Linked DNA regions of Mytilus edulis. The main gene of each other region encodes a partner of the protein of the gene in region 2 in a complex. Links are inferred from orthologs where the notes say so. Each region holds a gene or a part of one and is shown on either strand. Other genes may lie near its edges. The genes, in order: mitochondrial fission 1 protein-like and B-cell receptor-associated protein 31-like.

Evidence for each region.
Region 1: the proteins of B-cell receptor-associated protein 31-like (region 2) and mitochondrial fission 1 protein-like are in contact, whole or in part, in a crystal structure (PDB 8XWX), measured with the Homo sapiens proteins. The link is inferred for Mytilus edulis from reciprocal best matches to the Homo sapiens genes BCAP31 and FIS1. Residues at the interface, in NP_001132913.1 of Homo sapiens: Asp224, Leu227, Glu228, Ala231, Lys232, Ala235; in NP_057152.2 of Homo sapiens: Arg52, Val56, Glu59, Glu60, Pro63, Lys64, Lys89.

The regions. Positions count from the first base shown.
Region 1 is NC_092346.1:45,787,359-45,798,370, reverse strand, and holds the start of mitochondrial fission 1 protein-like, read left to right. Parts: upstream 1-4,849; 5' UTR 4,850-4,922; coding exon 4,923-4,967; intron 4,968-11,012. Other genes in the region: SPRY domain-containing protein 7-like, read right to left, coding at 3,482-3,598, 4,463-4,568. UniProt on the Homo sapiens protein: Involved in the fragmentation of the mitochondrial network and its perinuclear clustering. Plays a minor role in the recruitment and association of the fission mediator dynamin-related protein 1 (DNM1L) to the mitochondrial surface and mitochondrial fission.
Region 2 is NC_092344.1:77,904,200-77,915,211, reverse strand, and holds the start of B-cell receptor-associated protein 31-like, read right to left. Parts: upstream 5,982-11,012; 5' UTR 5,755-5,981; intron 3,578-5,754; exon of another isoform or gene 3,576-3,577; coding exon of another isoform or gene 3,481-3,575; intron 2,675-3,480; 5' UTR 2,667-2,674; coding exon 2,572-2,666; intron 922-2,571; exon of another isoform or gene 905-921; coding exon of another isoform or gene 819-904; intron 1-818. Other genes in the region: dynein regulatory complex protein 11-like, read left to right, coding at 6,072-6,082, 9,659-9,749, 10,253-10,489. UniProt on the Homo sapiens protein: Functions as a chaperone protein. Is one of the most abundant endoplasmic reticulum (ER) proteins.

The DNA.
Region 1 (11,012 bases), on a different chromosome or scaffold from region 2:
ACAGAGTTTGAATGTTTTAATTTGACAGTTGAACCTGTTGAATGTGAAATTAAGGAAAGTGAAGAAAACTGTGATTTTAGTTGTTTGAAGTCTGGTTTTGATCAAATTGTCAAAGTTCTTAAAAAGCTGGTTTATAAGAAGTTTAAAGTAAAAAAATGTTTTAATTGTTTGGTAGTTGGACATATCAGAGCTAATTGTCCCAATAAAGTTTGTAAAAGTGTCAATTCTGTTCATGTTGTTGAACCAGAAAAACCAGTTTCTACTGCAGTTCATAAGAAAGTAAAAAAATCATGCAAAGTTGTCAACAAAGTTCAAAATTTATTTTCATTTGATTTGCAAAGCTGTTTATCTGATTATTTGATTTCTAGCACGGATGAGTTTTCTTGTTTGAAGGATAAGCCAGTTAAAGTTTTCATATAGTATGTTTTTTTAGTTTTAATTTGTATATTTAGTATTTTACTTATTTTGTCACTTTATATTATTGTTTAGTAGGTATGGTTTCAAAGTTTTCATTGGATTTGTTGTTTTTCTTGGTCACGTTAATGAGCCGGTTTTGCCATCAAAACACCCTCAAAACGTTGTTTGATTTGATTGTGTTTTTCTTTAGATGTTGGTTTGTTTAGTTTGTAGCTAAGTTTCTTGTTTGAATAGGTTTATTTATGAGTTTGCTCATTTTTTTGGATTTTTAACCTTTCTGAACAAGTTTTATTGTTTTAAATTTGTTTAGTTTGGTTATGGTTTTCCTTTTGTGACTTTTATAAGTCATGGCAGAAATCTATTGAGTGGCAGAAAGTTTAAGTGTGAAGACAACCACCTGATAAAGTAAGCAGTTCTTGTTATCAAGAGCACCTTTCTTACTCTTTGTACAACGTTTGAACTTTGATCATCTTGAACCCGGAATCACATGTTATACGTGATTCCGTGAGATCTACAATGGTGGACTAAACCTGGTACAACGATAGACTTTTTAGAACCCGAAAACACACGTTTAAAGTGTTTTCGTGAGAACAACAATTGGTGGACTATACCTGGTACAACTTGGACCATGCAGATTATCCGTATTACCATTCCGTTTCCGTTTGAATCTAGAACTGTGTTTTATTGAATGCTGTATAACTGTGTCCGTTTACATTTATATTCTATGGACCGTACTTTATAATTTGTGTTTACCGACTATTCCTGGATGTTTATACTGTGTGAACTTTTCCTATGGTTGGACCGTGTGATTATTTGACATTTTTGTGACATTTATTGACATTTTTTGTGCATTGATTTATATTTTTGTTAATTATTTTGAACACATCTATTTTAAATAAATCTTTTCCCAAATATTAATTTCTTTAATATTTGTCCTAAGGGGGGAGGATTGTAATAGATGTGCCTTGATATGCCTAGGTTAATTCCCCTTAATTTGGACAGATTAATTATTTAGTATTTAAATGTTTATTTTTAGTTAAATTTGATTTAAATATAGTAGGATAAAAGTAAAGAATGTTAATTTAACTGTTTTAGTATTTAACTTTTGATGTTTTTATAATGTTTTAAGAATATTCATTTATTTAACTTTTCTTCAGTACCTTTTATGTTAAAGTTAGCCTGTTTAATGAAAAGTTTAGGATATCATTTGATATTCAGTCGGAGTCGGCCTTGCACAGGCCTCCAAATACTCGCCGGAACTAATATTAGTACTAATCGAGTCTAGAGTTAGCCACCACTTCGGTGCAGTTCGCCAGAGTTAGTCACCCCTTTTTGGTGCAATTTTACTACTTTTAAACACAACGCAAAGCAATTTTACTTTATTTTACTTAAAAGACTAACTCTGGGAACACTCTAGTTTTCATTTTACATTTGAAATTACTTTATTTTTGAACTTCATTTAAGAAAGTTTTCTGACTCCTGTTTTATCCGACTTTGTTTAAATTCATGCAATTATTGTACATTTGTGAATAAAATATAGTTTTCATTTGATTAATTGTTTGTTGTTCAGCCATAATCTGATATCAGGTATCCCGATGGTCGAATAGGGGCGAAGTACTGGCCACTACACGTCCCGGGAGGTGTCGTCACCGACCCCCTCCGTTACACTAGAAACAATATCATTTTACCTGTTTTTGTTGCCCTTTAAAAAACCTGTGTTAACTGAATCATCAAGACTTTTAGTGGTACATATATATTGTATTTTATTTCTTTCACACATGCAAATGATATATATATTATCTTCAAATGGAGTTCTGTGGACAGATTTATTTTCTTGGATTGAGAAAATCTTGCATTTTATTTGTTATTTGGTTTTGTTAATTCGTCAGTTTCTGTATACATTAATGACATTCCTACTATAGAATAAACGGAATTTGTTGAACATTTAAATTCAAGGTTCCCTTCTACTCACGAAATCCATGAACACTAACATTTACAGATAAATAGATATCCCCAAAAATCAAACCATTTCAGAATAAAAACAACTGAAATTACTAATTATTAACACTTATAAAAAACATCACATGGTTCTTAAAAAATAAAACTGTATAAAAGTTCTTACAAAAGTGAAGTGTTATCAAAGGGACATAACCAGTAAATTACTGATCTGAACCACTTTGTTAGAATGTTATAATAACAAATCAAAGTGTTGCCTTATCATTGTGTAAGCAAGAAGATATATTTATCACTTATACTCCTAAGAATGACCACTCAAATGCAAATTATTTTTCTTACATGAAATAATATGTATCAAAAAGTTGGGCTCAATTTTTTGGCTTAATTAAGAAATCAAATATATAGCAATTACTTTAATAGTCTTCATTGAAAAAGAGTAGGGGCAATAAGGCCCTTATTTGGCCCAAAAATTACTGAAAATTTTAAAGTAATCATACATATTGTTAAATTACTGAAAATTTATCTAAGGTATAAGGTACAAACAAAAACACAAAAAAAAATGACATCAACAAGTTACCATGGCAACAAATCATAACCTAATTTGCATATTTTGTTAAATTTCGTGATTTTCCTTGTTTTTTCATCAAATTTTTAAGTATATTTTAGACTGAAAAAGTATGTGCGCACCCAAGAAACAACTTTATATTTGATGAGATAATGCCAATAGTTATAATAAAGCTTTTGTTAAATTATTTTGTTGTTTCTCGGCTGCGCAGGATGTCTCCACAACAGAAATAAAGTCAGAAAACTGCATAATTTCTGTATTTTTCATGGTTTTTGTAAAAACAGTTCATATTATGACTTAATTGTGAGGTCATCAGATACAAATCTTAATGTTTTTCATTTATATTTCTTGACCCTAAGCATTTTTAAACATTATGTGCCAATTTGAAATAGTTATCAAACATTTCATTTTCTTGGGCCAAAACTAGGCCTTATATTGCCCCTACTCCTTTGTTCTTTTTTAAAAATAAGTTAAATTCTGGATAGTTTTCTGGATGTAAAAAATTATATTAATACTTGGTTTCAAAATCAATCTATGAATTACCTGTACTCTGTAGCTTTACTTCAAAGTAAGCTTTATCTTGTGCTATAGGAGCATTTGACAATGCTGCACCTGTTCCACATATTCTTTTACCACTTTTCACAATCACAACATCATTACCTGAAATGTTAAACACATGTACATTTTTACATTTAAGCATAAAAAAATAATTATCAACTAAGCATAAATTTACTAAAATAACAGAAAATTATCAAAAGTATTAATGTAACTTTGAAGGGGTTTCATTGGGGGGTTCTGATCACGGATCCTGCTTACTGTTTTGTCATATTCCCGTATCCCGCTTACACTATATATGTAAGCAATTCTCATTTTTTTATCATTTCCAGGGTACCGCAAGACCTCATTTCCCGTTTTCACGCCACAATAATTTGACTTTCACATGTCACGCTTACAAAAAATCAGCAATTTCGCATCACGCTAATAGACCCCAATGAGACCCACTTTGAATTTTGTATTATAATAAATTTAAAAACAGCTTTCGTTTTCTGAATCAAATTTTTATAGGTAGTTTCTTTAAACACATAAAACAATTTTAAGGTGACAATTGACATGAATGTATCCTTCCTTAAGATTGTTTATAGCTTGTTAAACTAATATATTTCTATATTTTTTTTATATAATTAATTTACAAAAAGATCTTTAAGATACCTATATGGTGGTTCTTATTAGGATCAAAGTCTGTTGCAGGATTCACCCATTTTTCTAATGTGTGACAGAAACAGAAACAATGTTCGGCGTAAATGTAAAATAATATATATCACAAGTGCTAGTAGTAGTATTGCAAATTATGATAGGCATGATAAGTGAGACACATGATTCTGACAAAACAATAAGCAAGTTTAGGATCAGAACCCTGAAGTAGTGCCTGAAGTGAGCACTATATATCTTATCATTGTTGATAGAATTTCCTGTGATACAAACAAAACAAAAACTAAATTATTTTCAAAAAATTTAGTGATTTACCCATGTGATTTGTGTCAAGTTGTACTGTTGGAATTTCCTTCAAGGGTATATGTCCTGAATTGCCATTTAGCATTCTTAAACAGCAAAGACATCTTGTAAGTGACATTTTACTATATTACTAATTTTGAATCAAAATATTGTTTTGATGTGGAAATCCGGAAACTAGTCTGAAGGTAAAGTTATGTTTTTAAACTGTAAAGACAAATTTGTAATCTTTAACATAAATCGTTGCCTTATATGTCAATTTTAGAGACTTGGTAACATCATTTGTTCTTATCTTATTCTAAGAAAGACATTATTTTGGATGAAATGTGTATTTTCCATGACTGCTTTATATTCGTTCCATCTCGGAAAGTGGTCTAATTTTATGTTTCCACGTAAGCGCAATCTTGCTAATGTTTTAGGACAACTTATTGATATGAAATGTGGGAAAGCGTTTAATTGACATTGATTTCTAGAAATGGATCGGATTGTGAACGAAATTTGCGACGAAAATGACTTAAAGGTACGAATAAATGTCTAGTGTCTCTTCATACATTTGACCAAATCATGCAATATGGATAGAATATATGAAGGGAAAATAAACATACAAAAAACCTAAATTATAGTGTTGTCAAAGAAAGAAGGAGCCAGAGAGAAAAACACACAGTGGTCAGTGACCAGTCAGGGGACTTACTTAATGAGTGATTTAGAAGAGTGATTTTCTGAATCACTGATTCAAGTAACATTATGTTCATAAAGGTTGGAAGTTAGAGTTGTCTCTCTTTAATAATCACCTATTTAAGTAGCACAAATTAATCACTAGAAGAAGTGATTTAATCTTATTGTAGCTTCAAATATAGAATACTAATGATTCAGGGACTAATTATGTTTCTAAACTTATCAGAACCAACATCTGTGTTGTCTAGGATGACCAGGTGTTAAGAATTGCGCTAATATTAACGTACCTTTTTGCGGTACGGCAGCTATCTTTGTGACGTCGCGTTATTGTTATACTTTATGTTGTATTGAATAGAAACGTATAATGGCAGACGTAGTTCTATCTTTAACGCCTTAGATAACTTACGATAAAATACACAACGCAATATTCTACATTGGTGCCGTGACTTCAAACGGAGAGAATGGACATCAGCCGATTAAAATCCTTGAGAGCGGGGAACAAAGCAGCAGTAACAAAAGTTTTCAAAAAACTGGAGGAAGCCATCGGAGATTCACAAATAGACACGGAGGAAGTATCAACATTGCTCGAAGCAATTGAGAAGAAAAAGAAGACGTAAGCCTCAATAGATGAACAGATATTAAATGCAGTCGAATCAGAAGATATTACAAATGAAATTCTTGAAACAGATGAGTATTATTTAGATTTAGAGGGTAAAATTCGAAAATTTAAGAAGTTCTTAAAGCCCGTAACAAACGCAACATCTTCTATACTAGATTCAAACGCACCAGAGTTTGTTCTGTACACAAACCCCTTCACTCACACAAGTCAGCCATTATCTCAGTCAAGTTCGACCTCAAGTAATAACCATCGCCTACCAAAGCTATCTCTTCCCAATTTTAATGGAGACATTCTACAATGGCAATATTTCTGGGATTCATACGAGACCACGATTCATCACAATCACACATTAACTGACATTCAGAAATTTTCGTACTTGAACTCATTGCTTCAATTTGAAGCTGCAAACGTAATTTCAGGATTGACCATGACAAATCCAAACTACCACAAAGCAATTGAATTATTGAGAAACCGCTATGGGCAACCACATAAAATCATAAATGCATATATGAGAGCACTACTTGATATACCCGCACCACATGATACATTAGAAAGTTTGAGAACATTTCATGACAAATCAGAAGCTTACATACAGGGTCTAGAGTCTCTTGGACAATGTCAGGAAATGTACGGATCGCTATTGATACCAGTAATTCTCGGGAAGATACCGCATGAAGTATGAAAAAATATAACACGAGAAAACGGGAGCGACAGTTGGAATATTCAATCGCTTAGAAACGCGATAGGTAAAGAGATTTCTATTCAAGAGTCCGGATACGGAGATTATACGCAGACGTATTCAACCGCCACTCCTAGCGCAAATTTCATAACAGGCGTTAAACGAGTAACTACAGATAAAACCCGTCCGATAAACACAACAGACAAATCATTCAACTCGAATCGGAAGAAACAATGCACATATTGTGACGGAAACCACTGGCCTAACGAATGTAAAGATATCATAGATCACGATAAAAGAGTAGCCATTATAAAGGAAAGAGATTATGCTTTAATTGTTTAGGTAAGCATAAAATAGCCGATTGCAAATCCAAGAATATGTGTAAGTGTTGCCACCGGAAGCATCACTCTTCATTATGTAAACAGAACTCGTACTGAAATAAACATCATATTGAAACTGAACAATCGCAAAATAAAGTAGACACAGAAACTTCTATGTTGTATACCGCTAGCGAAGAAAGGTCCACTGTTTTACTGAAAACCGCATTCAGTCCAGTCGTTCACAAAAATACATGTACACTGTATAGATGTATTTACACATAGAATACTCTTTGACGAGGGAGCTCAGCGCTCATTTATAACGGAAGAACTAGCAGCTAAATTGGACATTAAAAAAGAAGGTTCTGAAACATTAAGTATAGCTACATTTGGAAGTACTACAAAAAAGGTGAGAAATCTTGACAAAACAACAATTAATCTTAACTCTACCGAAGGAGAATTAATCCCTATTAAAGTTTTAATTGTACCAACCATTGCTTCACCACTTCAAACTCACAACATAGGAATAACGCAGAAGTTTTCTTATTTACGTGGTCTACAATTAGCACACCCAGTCATGGATGGAGAGCAATTTGAAATATCCTTATTAATTGGAGGTGATTTCTACTGGGACATAGTTCAAGACAAAATAGTGCGTAGAAACGGTCCAACCGCAGTTAGCTCGAAAATTGGATATTTACTTTCCGGTCCTGTCCCTACACGAACCAGCAATGCATCTTTCTCAATGATGAATATACTAGTTTGTCACAAACAAGAAGAGTGCGATCTTGAACAATTTTGGAAGCTTGAATCGTTGGGAATTGACGTTAAAGAACAAAATGATCCAGACCTAGCTGAATCAATTGAAAATTACTTACAAACCTCTATTACGAAGAAAAATGATAAGTATATTGCGAAATTACCATGGAGAGAGAATGCGCCAGAACTACCGACAAATAAAGACATCGCAAAACGCAGAACGGAAAGCGTTATTCGTCGACTGAAGAAGGATCCGGAGATGTTCCAAAAGTATGGTGAGATAATTACAGACCAAGAACAAAGAGGATTCATTGAAAAGGTATGTGATGAAATTACATGCACAAACAAGGTTCATTACATTCCGCATCATCCCGTAAAAAAGGATTCAGTCACCACCCCGATACGCATAGTATATAACTGTAGCTGTAGAGCGAACGACAATAGCCCTTGTCTTAACGATTGCCTAGCAACATATCCACCAATTATGACTGATTTGACGGAGATATTAGTACGCTTTAGAATGTACAAATATGCAGTTACAGCAGATATTGAAAAAGCATTTTTGCATATTGAATTAGATGTTGATGACAGAGATGTCACAAGATTTTATTGGTTAGAAAATCACATGGACACAGAAAGCCGTTTGATTACTTACCGGTTTAAAGTTGTACTTTTCGGCGCCACCTGTTCGCCATTCATGTTAAGCGCCACACTAATGAAACATTTTAGAGACAATCCGTCAACTACATCAACTGAATTACAGAGAAACTTATACGTGGATAACGTTCTGACCAGTTTTACAGATGAACAATCACTTTTGAAATTCTACACGGAGTCAAGAAAATTATTGTCAGAAGCAGGATTCAACTTACGGTCTTGGAATTCTAATAGTACGGAATTACAGAACGTCGCAGGACTAGACAAGATCGGCGACAATGACGACATAGTCAAAATTTTAGGCATGAGATGGGATAGGGAATCCGATGATTTGAAATTTCAACAGATTGAATTTATGGAAAAGGACAAAATGATAACAAAACGTGAGGTTTTGCGCACATCGTCTAGAATTTTCAACCCCCTTGGATTAATCACGCCAATTACGGCGAAAGCTAAGCTGTTTATGCAGACTAATTATGGAAGGCAAAGTTGGATTGGGATGAATGTTTGTCCGACAAACTGAGAAGTAAATGGCAGGTAATAGCTTTAGATATCAAGGAGGCTACCAAAATAGTATTTCCACGAATGTTAACGGAAGGAGTATTTAACGAGAAAACGTCACTACATATTTTCACAGACGCCAGTCAGTTAGCATACGGAGCTTGTGCTTACTTAGTTACAGCAAATTCATCGATCCTTGTCATGGCTAAAAACAGAGTAGTACCCGTTAAACCGATTTCATTACCACGTTTAGAACTTATGGGCGCGCTTATCGGCGCCAGATTAGCAACGCATCTTCTTAAAGTCATAACAACAGAACATGTGTATATGTGGAGCGATAGTCAGATTGTTTTGAGTTGGATTAAATCGTCAAAAATATTAAAACCGTTCGTAGAAAATCGACTTAAAGAAATACGAAAATTAACAGAGAATGCTGAATGGAATTATTGTCCAACAGATGACAATCCAGCTGATTACTTAACTCGCGGAATTTACGCTTAACAACTTTATAACAACAGCTTATGGATGAACGGTCCACAATGGATTTTAAATCGTAAAAATTGGCCGACATGGACAAGGAAAATTGAAGATTGCAGCACGATGGTAACTGTTAGTGATGAAAATACAGAAGATGAAAGTACAAATGCTTCAACACAGACAATTTCATGTATAGATATACAACGATACAGATCTTTAGAAAAAGCAATTAGAGTAACAGCATACGTCTTGCGCTTTATACAGAATTTACGGAACTCAAGAGAACGAACAATCGGATTTATCAGTGTTGAGGAGCGATGTAAAGCATTAGAAGTTCTAATAGTAACAGCACAACAGCAAACATTTAAGGATGAAATTGAAAGCTTGAATTCATCTTCACAGAAAAAAGTGCAACTTGTTCGACAACTTAAACTTTATACAGACAAAAGCGGATTACTACGTTGTACCGGGAGAATACAAAACGCACCTGTTAAGGAGAGTACTAAATATCCGTTGTTATTGCCAACACACCACAGTCTTATGTCCTTTATCGTAATGGATGCACACACAAAGACTTTTCATGCCGGACTTAACAGTACAATCGCATATATTCAACAGAAATATTGGATACCGAGAATAAGACAGTGCGTAAAATCACAAATTCGTAAATGCGTTCAATGCATTAAAATATCAGGAATGCCTTACAGCGCACCCGATCCGCCACCGCTTCCTAAAGATCGAGTCAACTACGATTATCCTTTTTCAGTAACCGGCGTTGATTTCACAGGAGCTTTGTATACAAAAGGAAAACACAACGAATTAAGCAAAACATATATTTGTTTATTCACTTGCGCCGCTACACGAGCTATACACTTGGAGATAGTCACAGATTTAACCGAGGAGTCTTTCATGCTTGCTTTTAAAAGATTTGTCGCTAGAAGATCTACACCAAGGATTATGTTGTCCGATAATGCAACAACCTTCAAGGCAGCCGCCGAAAAGATTACAAGATCAAGCAAAGACAACCGAATACAAGAAAAACTTGCCGATCAAGGAACTGAGTGGAAATTTATACCCAACCGAGCACTGTGGTTTGGAGGCTTTTGGGAAAGCCTAATTGGACTCACGAAAAAGTCAATTAAAGTAATACTAGGAAAGTCATGTGTCACTACGGAAATGTTGAATACAATTGTAATCGAAATCGAGGGAACTCTAAATAATCGTCCTATAAATCACATTTCTACTGATATTAAAGATCCCGAACCGCTGACGCCAGCGCACCTGTTATATGGTCGTCGACTTGACAACCAATCGGAACAGAATATTGACAGTGTTACTTCAGAAGACTTGCACGTGAAACTGAATAAAAATCTACAGAGAAATAATGAACTAATCAACCATTTTCGCTCAAGATGGAAACACGAATATCTGACGTCACTCTGAATTCCACCGTACATCTGGAAGAAACGAACAAACAATACAAATAGGTGACATTGTACAAGTACACAATGACACAAATCGAATAATGTGGAAATTAGCAGTTGTACAAGATTTAGTTCGTGGAAAGGATGGACTCATTCGATCAGCTGTTATCAAGACCGACACAGGAATTACCAACCGTCCGATTGTGAAGCTCTATCCGTTGGAAATACGCAGTACACATGATGACAGTGAATGAACTTTTCTGCCCTGGAGAACTTTCTGCCCTGGAGAAATTAGTGGATGTATAGACTGTTCAATTAACTACGGTTATTATATAGACTTGTGAAAGTGTTAAATTATTCAGACGTGAACAGTTAAAAAACTATTGAGAGACTTTAACTATGATTTTATTTCATTTTATGTCACAATTTACGAATTTTTCATATTGTATTTCAAATT
Region 2 (11,012 bases):
TCTGACACAAATAACCTGAAAAAGACGAAAGATGGAATATCATATGATATATGTGTATACTCAAGATATTGGATGTAAAAGAAAAAACTTCCTTTGAAACTATATACATGTATATATATTTCCAGTATCAATAATTGTTATCAACAAATTTCTCAAATGAATACATTTTATTCTAAACAAATAATTATGTAAGAAATATCCCCCCCCCCCCCCATAATATGAATAGCTTGGCCGGGCCTAAACACAATGTGACAGTATAAGTTAAGTGAGAGATTTTTAACACTATACATCTGTACACATGAATGTATACATAACTTAGCTATAGCTAACATTGTCATCAAAATGGGCAAAAACTGTGCATCAGGAAATACTTCACATTAAGCTGTTTATTTTAAGAGGGCTCTTAATAATATGTTTCTCAACATATTCTTTTATTTCATTACTGTCCACATTGTATAGATTGAATGCTAAAATCCCCATATACATAAAATACTACTGTGGATTCATTTATTTCGTGGGTATCAATTTTCGTGGATTGAGAAAAACTAACACTTTGATGTTAAATTTTGTGTTTTTCTTAAAGTCTGCATACAGGTCTATGGAAATTTTGTAGTTTGTTGAACATTAAAATTTGTAGTTCCCCTGTACCCACAACATCCAAGAACATTGGTATCCAACTAATAATTTAAGAAATAAATAATCATGATAATGTATCCACAGTAATTAAAATTGAACAATTTTGAGAAAATTTGTTGACAACTTAGTTTACATTGTATATATGTACATGGCAAATATCGTGAATATATATCCCAACCTACCTGGATGGTGGGATAAAAGGGATTAAAAGGATAGCTGAGAGGAAGATCTCCAGATACAGGAATAAAGCTATGAAAGTCCAAAGCATTTTAGGATGTGGTTTGCCTGAAATAGACCATCATGTGATCAGGGTACTAGATATTCTACACCAGCATGTGGTCAAAGTACTAAATATCCTATATAATTGGATATTATTTATGTGTAATATTGAGTAAAGAAAATCAGGTCATCTATGTATCTATGTAAAAATAAACGGAATTTTAAAACAAGAAAACCTAGATGCATTGATATCCCACTCGCCAAAAGAGTTTAGAAAGATATTTATTGATATGGAATTGCAAAAACATTCTGATATTTGTATATTTTCTAATTTTTATAACAATAGGCCATCTGTCAAGTCATGCTTAAATAATTTGACATGATACTCCCTTAAATTTAAAGATTACTCCCAAACTAAATATTGAAAAGTATTTTTTATCAAGTAATACATCTTTTCTTTTAGAAAATAAAAAATAAAATTAGTGCAAATTTCACAGACATTCTAAAAAACCTCTAAATATTGAATGCATTAGAAGTCGTTTTGGGGCCATGATTTGTTCACATTATCTAATGTGATTATTACACAATTTTCAAAAAAGTTGCATGAAACAATTTCTTCATAAATGTCAAATTTTACATAAACCTGTATTACACTAACTTTCTATACTTTATATTACTACAATGGAATATTATTGCCCATGATACCATACAAAATATAATGCTTTTAATATGCAGGTTCCAAAATGCAGAGGAAATAACTTTCTCCCCATGCTTAATAGGTTTGTAAGAACTGTAAATTCAGAAATTATTGCAATTTGTTTAATTTTTGTGATTGAGAAAATCCTGTTTAATTCATACAAAGAATTTTAAAATGTGAGTTTGAATTATTGCGATTATAACTCAGACTCATTTTTCACAATAATAAGAACATCACAATAATTTCTGAATTTACAGTATCAAAATCACTTAGGCCACAATGAAAATAATATGTCCAGGTTTTCATCCATATCTTTTTTTTAAATTGAAAAGAGATGGCATTTCAATTTTACTGTTTAAGTCATGTTAATTCATTAATTATGGTAATGAATTGGTTCCATGTTGAAATGGAAATTGATAAAAAAAAAAAAAAGAAGAAAAAAAAGGAATATATACAAATATTTTGAGAGGATTTTGGATGAAAATCTTGAAGTACTTTAATTTCATTATGGCCTTGAAAATCCAAATGCATGAGATTAAAGGTGTACAATCAGTATCCTGTTTTATACATTTGACATTGTTTGATTTGCACTTTCTTACTCAAATCAGAATTGTGGATACATGAACCAATATATGATGACAGTTGTTTTATATAGATATATACACCTTTAATTAGATTAATGTCTGTGTAAATGATAATTCATGAACATGATGCAATGTTAGTTATCTAATTTTGCTTAAAGCATCATTGACTCCTTTAAAACTAATGTGGTTTTCAATGAGTTTCTACAGTATATTTTTTAATAATTTTAAATTGATTTTTAATAAAATCAAGAATGGAAATGGGGAATATGTCAAAGAGGACAACAACCAAACCAAAGAGTAAAAAAACAAACAGCCAATGGTTCTTCAACACAGCAACAGATTAATTTTTACCAGATTAAAAGGCCACATGGGTTTTGTAGAAGTCAATATGTACAGTAGCTGCCACTAATGAATGCTGTAAAGATCAGTGCTTACCTAGATGGAGAAATATATGGTATCAATAAAATTACCGATACAAATATTTCAAGATACATAAACCCCGAAATGGAAGTCCATATTATACCAGTCATTGTTAAATCTGTACAGGAAGAAAACTAAAGGTCATAATGCAGGACAATAATAATCCATTTCATTCATTGTTAGAAATTATTTGTACCAAATTCTTTCACAAGAGTGCTACTAAAAAAATGCATAGGACATGATTTGTGTTTAAATTTCAGATAATAAGCCAAATTATATAATAGCTGCACATTTATATTAATTACTATAATTACTAGAAAATATTTTTCATGTTCATACATGTACATGTCATATAATTGCTGCATATTTATTAATTACTATAATACTAGAAAAACAGTTTTGAGTTCAAATACAATATTTTAAAAAAGCTCAATTATTTTCTTTTTAAAGCTATTCTATAATGAAAAAAATTGTAGTACAATATTAATTTCCAACTCATAAATTATAAATAAATGCACTCTATCAAATCTAAAAGATGATTATAATGATGTCAAATTTTCATGACATGTTTATTGTTCTGATCTCAAAATTTCTGTACATAGAAAACAACTAGAAAATCAACAAATGTTTTTTAAACAACTTAACAAGTTGCCTTTTTTTAATTTTGGTATTTGACAGCCTATAGCTCATTTTAGCTAGCATGGCTAGATTGACAAATAACTATGCACAATTCTTTTTCTTTTTAATAAAGCTTAGTTTGAGATATTCATATCATGAAAAAATTACAAAATGGTTTTATATATGACTGTATGGAAAAGTTAAGCAAATACCATTCAAAAGTGAATTTTCTTGAGAATAGCATTTTGCATGCAAACTGAACTTTTTGCATGTGAAAGCTACGGAATACACATCTGACACTCTTACCTTTGTGCTGATACAAATGGTAACATAAGTATAACAGCTATTGTTATTTCAACATATAGATACCCAGCTATACCTGACCACAGTATTCCAACCATGGCTGTAATAAAACTATTTCTTTTTTACAATTGTATATATACATATATACATATATATAACTGATTTTATTAGCTGAACATCTGAAACATCATGAACATAAACAATAAATGTCGTTATTTTTAATTATATATGTTGTATAATTGTTTAGCGGAAGTTTTTTCCCTTTCTAACATGTGTTTACAGATTTGATTTTTGGTGTTTTAACGCCACTTTTGAGCACCACATTTAGGCTACTTCGTGGCAGCCATTTTTCATTAGTGGAGGAAGCCAGAGTGCCTAGAGAAAACCATTGACCTGCAATAGGAAAACTGACAATCCTACTCAATTAAGATTGGAGTCCAGGGCACCCGAAAGAGCAGGGTTCAAGCTCACAACCTCAGTGTCGAATGGCTAGTGATTACAGTAGTAACAACTTAGACCACTCGGTCACCAAGGCCCCTGTATGTTTACTGTAATCAGCATGATCAGTGTATCCGTAACTCTGTCTGACCAACTTATTGTCTGACAAAATTTCATTTATTCACATAGAAATTTTTAGTTTTTTCTAGTTGAAAATATAGAAGAAAAGGTCAAATTTCTTTTTCGGTCAGTCAAACTTTAATACAGTTTGGAACAGACTGTGCAATTGTGTCATGTATGCAGACATAGTCATGATAGTTTATAATATTAAAATTATCAAAAAGTGTAACCAATCTGATTATAAAGGGCATATGATTCAGTTTTGATCCCATTTTGAAATTTTGATGAAAAATTGCATATAGGCTATTTTTAACCTGATTAAATCAAATATGTAATAAAATATATATACCTTCATGTGCTACTTTTTGAGTAAAATGAGGTTGAAATTTCAGATATTAGCACAAAATTCAGATTTGTGGACGTATTTTTCCTTTTGAACATGTTGAAAGAAATCCATAACTTTTTTTATTTTAAAAGATAAACACAAGCTGTTTTTTGTTAAATTATCTGTAAGTTCTGTTTTATATAAATGTTCTTTATATTAATGCATTTATATTATACAAATAACACATACAAAATGACATATTTATCAAATATTCATGAATGTAGAAAAAAACTCAGTTTTTGCTGTATATTTATCAAATTTAAAAAATTTGCAATATTGACACTCTCTTGAAATTGGTAAAAATAATCTTCATTTGTAAGGAAACCAAATGTCTTTTAACAAAAGAGGTGTCCATGAACTCGTTTTCAAATTAAATCAGTTTGAATGATGAAAATCAGTCAAAAAATGCATCTTTTCTATGATATGTCAGTCTGATGTCGCAAAAATAACATTTCACATTTAACCTCCCTGTTATACACCTTATCACTAATCCTGGCTGACCCGGCCGCTTGAACTTTTGAAGCATACAACAATCACTTTTCCATTGTGGCATCAGATATTTTGTTTTATGACGTCAAAATTTTACGGCAACCTGTGTGATTTTCAGTAATGACAGACAAATAGCGATAAGGTGTATTTTATCATATGCCCTTAAACAAGCAATTTTATTAACAAGAATATATGAGGGTGGTAAAGGGTTATTTTCGTGCAACGTGATCGCCGTTTTTTATTTCACGTTCAACGTGTTTTTACTTTTTTATTTGACGTTCAGTCGTGCAAGACGGGTGCCTCGTTCAACGTGTTCTGCTTATTTAATTTTACGTGCATCGTGATTTTCAAAGTCTTATTTTGCGTGCTCGGTATTTTTCAAATAAAATTCAAACACTTGGCAGGGATCTTCAAGAAATACTTTTTTAAACGCCGTAAACCAATTATAACATTAATGTGTATACTAAATTGGGAAAATCAAGTAAAACAAAGAGTTAATATATACAAGAAGACAGTGATTCAGTCATAAAAGGTTCACATAAAAGTATTTATTTTTCGTGCAACGTTCATTACAGAAATTATTTCACGTTTTTCTCGTGCAAGCTACCCCCCTTTACCACCCTCATATATGTATATGAACATGATGAATGCTGTTATAAATTTTTTTTAATGAAAGGGGTCTACGTGAATGGTGGCAAACCAAGTTTCAGATTGGAGAATCTACATTCAAAAGTAAGACCATTTCGTGAAGGAGAAAAATAGATTAAATTTTGAATGAATGTCGAAAAGAGGTTTTGCCTTCCTGTTTCATATTGGCTTATTGACTTTTTCTAATGTGTACCGACCTGTTGATTTTTCAGTTTCCCTATGTACTTTTTGTGTTTCTAGGTTTATTTCACGATGACTCTAAACACAAACCTTTACTATATCTTAAATTATGAAGATAAAAAAAGTTGCAATATTCTCGAAAGTGACCTTCTTAGTCATTAAATGTCTTGTAAGCTATCGTTAATATCAGTTGCTAAAAACGATAATTTGACTAAGATCGATGACAATTCATAATCTCGGCAAGGATTTGTAAGCGAGATTTAAACGTTGTTATAGAAACACAAACATCATGGCGTAAAATTTGTAATCTGCATTATTTTCTGTTAGTTTGAGGATGTCTCACAGGTTTGTTTATCCACTTAATTCTTAATTCTATGAATATTTGAATTTTACAAGTCAGTAATTGCTTTGAAATACCAAAGCATCGCATGTTTTACCATTGGCAAGGGTTTTGATTGCACTTAATTAATTTTTCAAGTTGATCATAAAAACATTTGTCTGTTTGTTGATAAAATGTTGGGACCTCTCAAGTAAAAGAACTCTTGAAAGCCATGCAAATTGCTTGTTTCTTGTACTCCTATAATTTTTAATTTTGGAAGTAACACATCTTCTGACGTGGGTGATATTTAATGTCAACGTTTTTATAGTCGCCGTCAGCTGAAATTCGTAGTGGTTATCGGTAAAAATAATCTAAACTATCAAATGGGTTCACTCGAGATATAGTTTTTCACATTCCATTCATAAATCACAAAAAGAAAAACCACTACCATGACTACTGACCTACCTTTTAAGTGATCACACTGTAATAATCCTGACCTTCACATTTTCCAGAATGTTTTCTATTGTAATTCCGCCATCTTCGTTTCTATGAGGATCATTTGTTTACATATGACATTCGTCACTTGGCTCAATATCTTTAATTGTTTTTACATAGGCGGTAATGGTAACGTTTTTTCCTGTAGCTCAGTCCATATTGTAAACTTGGATATGTATGATAGCTCGTTACGAAGCTGTGACATTTTCACATATGTGGTTAAATTTTTCGGGGTACGAAGTGAGATTACATGTACTTTTTCCGTAAATTAGCAAACCCCGAACATCCTTTTGTGATGCGGCTCCTTGTGGTAAAATATCCCCTTTTTAACACAATAAGTTCTTTGAAAATTTAATACTTTGAACACATTCAATAGCTCCATAGTTTTTACACATTTATTTCTATGTTCCTCTACTTTCCTTATCACCACAAATAATTAAGTTCAGTCATTTGTTAAAAATAGAAACATGTCCATTACCAATATTACTACACAGAGATTTTTTCTTTACACGTGACTTTTGTCAAATACACCTTATCGCTTTTTGTCGGTATCAGGTCCGTTTGCACCCAATACACTTTCGCATCTCACATTTTCGCTAAATTTATTCTTCTTGTCGCTAATTAATTTAGTGAGACCTCTGAATATTTAAGTGCTGTATTTTTTCTTTAGAATGGTGCATGATAGGATGAGCCTAAGGAGGGTCGCGGGTACAAATGTATTTATAAGATTTTCAGAAAAAAATGAAACATTTAATTTTCTTTACAAATTTTATTAAATATCTTAAGTAGTTGTTACTTTATCATATGGTTCAAAAATTATTCCAAAAAATCAATTCCTGTTGGCCCAAGGCGACTTTTAAAATGTAGTTATCATTGAAAAAGCTCCAAATTATCTCCTTTTTGGTGCAAAAATGCCATTTTTTGGCATTAAAAATGAAATATCTTTTTTAACTCATCGGTGACCTATATTTTTTATTGTTGTTTTCGAATAAGCTGTACATAAACTAAATAATTGTAAAATTTAAGGCATTTCTGTAATTTAGTTCTTTTTTTATTTCGATATTACCGCTATTTCTCCTATTAGTTCAACAGAAAAAAAGGACATTTACAAAAATGTATGTTTCTTTCGAAGGCATTGTGAGCGTAAATGAATGTGACCCCAAAATATAGCGAAATCCTATATTAAATAAAAAAATTGATTTAGACCCGCTAGCCCCCTTAAACTTAAGTTCTTTACTGTTGATATTTATGATGTTTGTTTTGAATAATTGTAAGAATGTATGATATAAGGACAAATAAAATATATGAAATATATGATATAAGGACGAATAAAATATATGAAACTAACGCAATAAATAAATGCCCTGGATTGCAATTGATTTAAGATGTATTCAACAACCACACAAAAAAAAAACGATGTCAGAATCTCACTTTATTCATAAACAAAATATTTCAAGCCATACACTATCCAAAACATGATTAAGATTTTATAAACACATACAGAACGTTGTCATAATCTCACTTTATTTAGAAACATTAAGAATTATTCAACACAAAATTGAAATACTTGTTGCCAGAATCACAGAATCACACTTTAATTAAAACAATGATTTTTTTTTTTCATACATGTAGCAATAAACTTACCATGATACAAAAAAAAACTTGTCAGAATCTCAAATTATTAAGAAGCAATGACATATATATTTATATCAATACACCTTCCAAAACTCAGTAAAATTGGGCGTGAACAGACTGGGTGCAAACATGTGGGGTGCGAAAGTGAAAGGGGGCGCATGTGAATTGGTGCGAATGTGATTGGGTGCGAACGGACCCGGATTCCTATTTGTCCACCATTACTAGACGTCTCAAAAGTTGTCATAATAGAAAAATTTTGAAGCTACAATGGAAAAGGGATTGTTGTATGACGTTGAAAATTAAAGTGGGACAGATTCCCGGGTCAAGTGGGAATAGCAGTATTTAGATGTATTGTTCCAGGACTGCAGACCTTAACTTTACTGAGGATTAACAACGTTACATGTGATCAATCATAAACATTTTTATTTGTACCATTACTGCGCCATTAGCAGATGAATTTTTTTTATTGTATTGAAAGATTGGCCATGTTGGCACAAGACTTGATTATTCTGATATATATTAAGTACAGTGAAACCTGGGTAAACCGAACCCCGATAAAACCGAATTTCAGTTGAAACCGAACAATGTTCAAAGTCCCACAAAATTTCCCTATCAATTAACGTTAATTTAACCTGAAAAAAACGAACCCTGTCAACACCGAATTCCGAACGCTTTTTGAAGGCTCGTTAGTAAATTTGTATCTAAAAATTACCTGTCAAAATCGATCAATACCAATAAAAACAATAAACATTATTAATTATTTGCATGATTTAATTAAACAAACACGGAATGGCAGAGTATCCCCGAAGGTATTTGAGGTTTAATGAACTTGTGAGTTGTTATTACAAACTAATTAGCATGTCTGTGTTCATGTATAAAGTGATTTTTTTGTAAAGATACGTTAAACTGGTCAGCTACCCCATCGATCAAAAACAAAAATGTAGCAAAACGTCTATCTTCATCTTCTTTTATTTTTACATTTACATCTAAATCAACACAAGAATAAACTGTTGTCTATTGTGTCACCTATTATCCCTGGTTAGTAAATGCCAAAATTATTTTGGTGTCGACTTCCGTTTACCTCTATAATCTGAACACCTGTGAAAACCGAACAAAACGCAAAGTCCTGAGGGTGTTCGGTTTGGACAGGTTTCACTGTATATTAAATTGTTCCAGGAATTAAGATTTTATAAATGTCACTATGAACATGATGAATAACTGTCAAAACATGTCTATTTAATATAACAGGTCTGACTGTGTAACCTGTAAAGGGTTCATAGAATTCTAATTAAATTTATACCTTAAAGCACTGAAATAAGATTCTATGTCAGCTTAGACATACTGAGATCTGAACTGTTGGTTGACAGGTAATTACACTTATATATATATATATATATATATATATATATATATATATATATATGTACAAGCAATGTTATGTAGACTGTGTATTTTTTCTTTTTCTTTCTTAGCACCTACAACAAACAATGGGGAGAGGGACAATCAGCCTTGCAGGATCTCCTGCAACAGGAAATCCCAGAAGAGCCACCAAAACCAGAAAAGGTTTGTACTACATATCATCCTAACATTCATATTGCATAAACAGAAACTGTAATACATAAATAAACCAACTAATTGAGGTGGGTGAATTTTTTTGTGTGTGATTTTTCAAAGCTGAAAAAAAGTAATTCAATGTATGTTAAACTTGTATCTTTCCTCATGTTCCTTGAATGTAAATTATATCATTTTGAAAATCATGAAATTAAATCATGCATTTGGTTAGAAAGTATTTATATTTTCCAAATAAATCCATACAAATAGGAAAATAAAAAGTTGAATATTTTTCTATATTTTATATACCATGTATACAGTTTATTGGTACAATTTTGGAGGAAGGCAATATTTTAGTCCTAAACAACATACAGTCACAGTCATAATGCATTTTCTTGTTATCAGACCTTGTATGCTATGTTGACCTTTGACTTGTTTACCACTTTTGATGACATACTCTATTAAAAAAAATATTACAAGTTAGTTATACAATGCATATTACAATTTTATTTTAGGATCGTTTGGCAGCATTCCAGTTGCTAGCCACCATGTATATAAAATATATACAAATATTCCGTAAATTAGAGCAGTCATATGATCAGATTGTCCACCCACAGAAAAGAAGAGTTTTACGTCATGTTCTGGATGGAGCTATGGGGAGAATTTTAGAACTGAAACATGAAATGGTCAACCTTGAGTTCTCAGAATACCACTACTTTGATGATGTCTTATCAGATTTAAAGTTGACACCAGTATGTACAACTATCTCATAAATGGTTAAAAAGATAAATAAAGATCCAAATAGATATAAGAAGATGTGGTATCATTGCCCATGAGAAAACTCTTCATCCAAGTCACAATTCATTAAAGTAAACCATTAAAGGTGACTGGTAAAAGTACGGTCTTCAACACAGAGCCATGGCTCACACTGAACAGCAAGCGATAAACAGCCTGAAAAATTACTAGTGTAAAATCATTCAAACTGGAAAACCAACAGACTGATCTATATGAATAAGGAGAAACACTTATGAATCACACCAACAAACGACAACTAATGAACATCAGATTCCATATGTATTGTTTGCCTATCAATTTTAAGAAATTTTCCAAATTATTTCTCTTTTTGATTTTAACAGTTGATAGAGCATTTAAATAAACAAAATTCTCTAATTTCAGATGAAAGTTTTAATGAATATGTGTTTGATTGTTCTACAGATTTAAAATATTTTGTCTGTAAAAGTCCACTTGATTTGTAAAAAGGGTATACACATATTA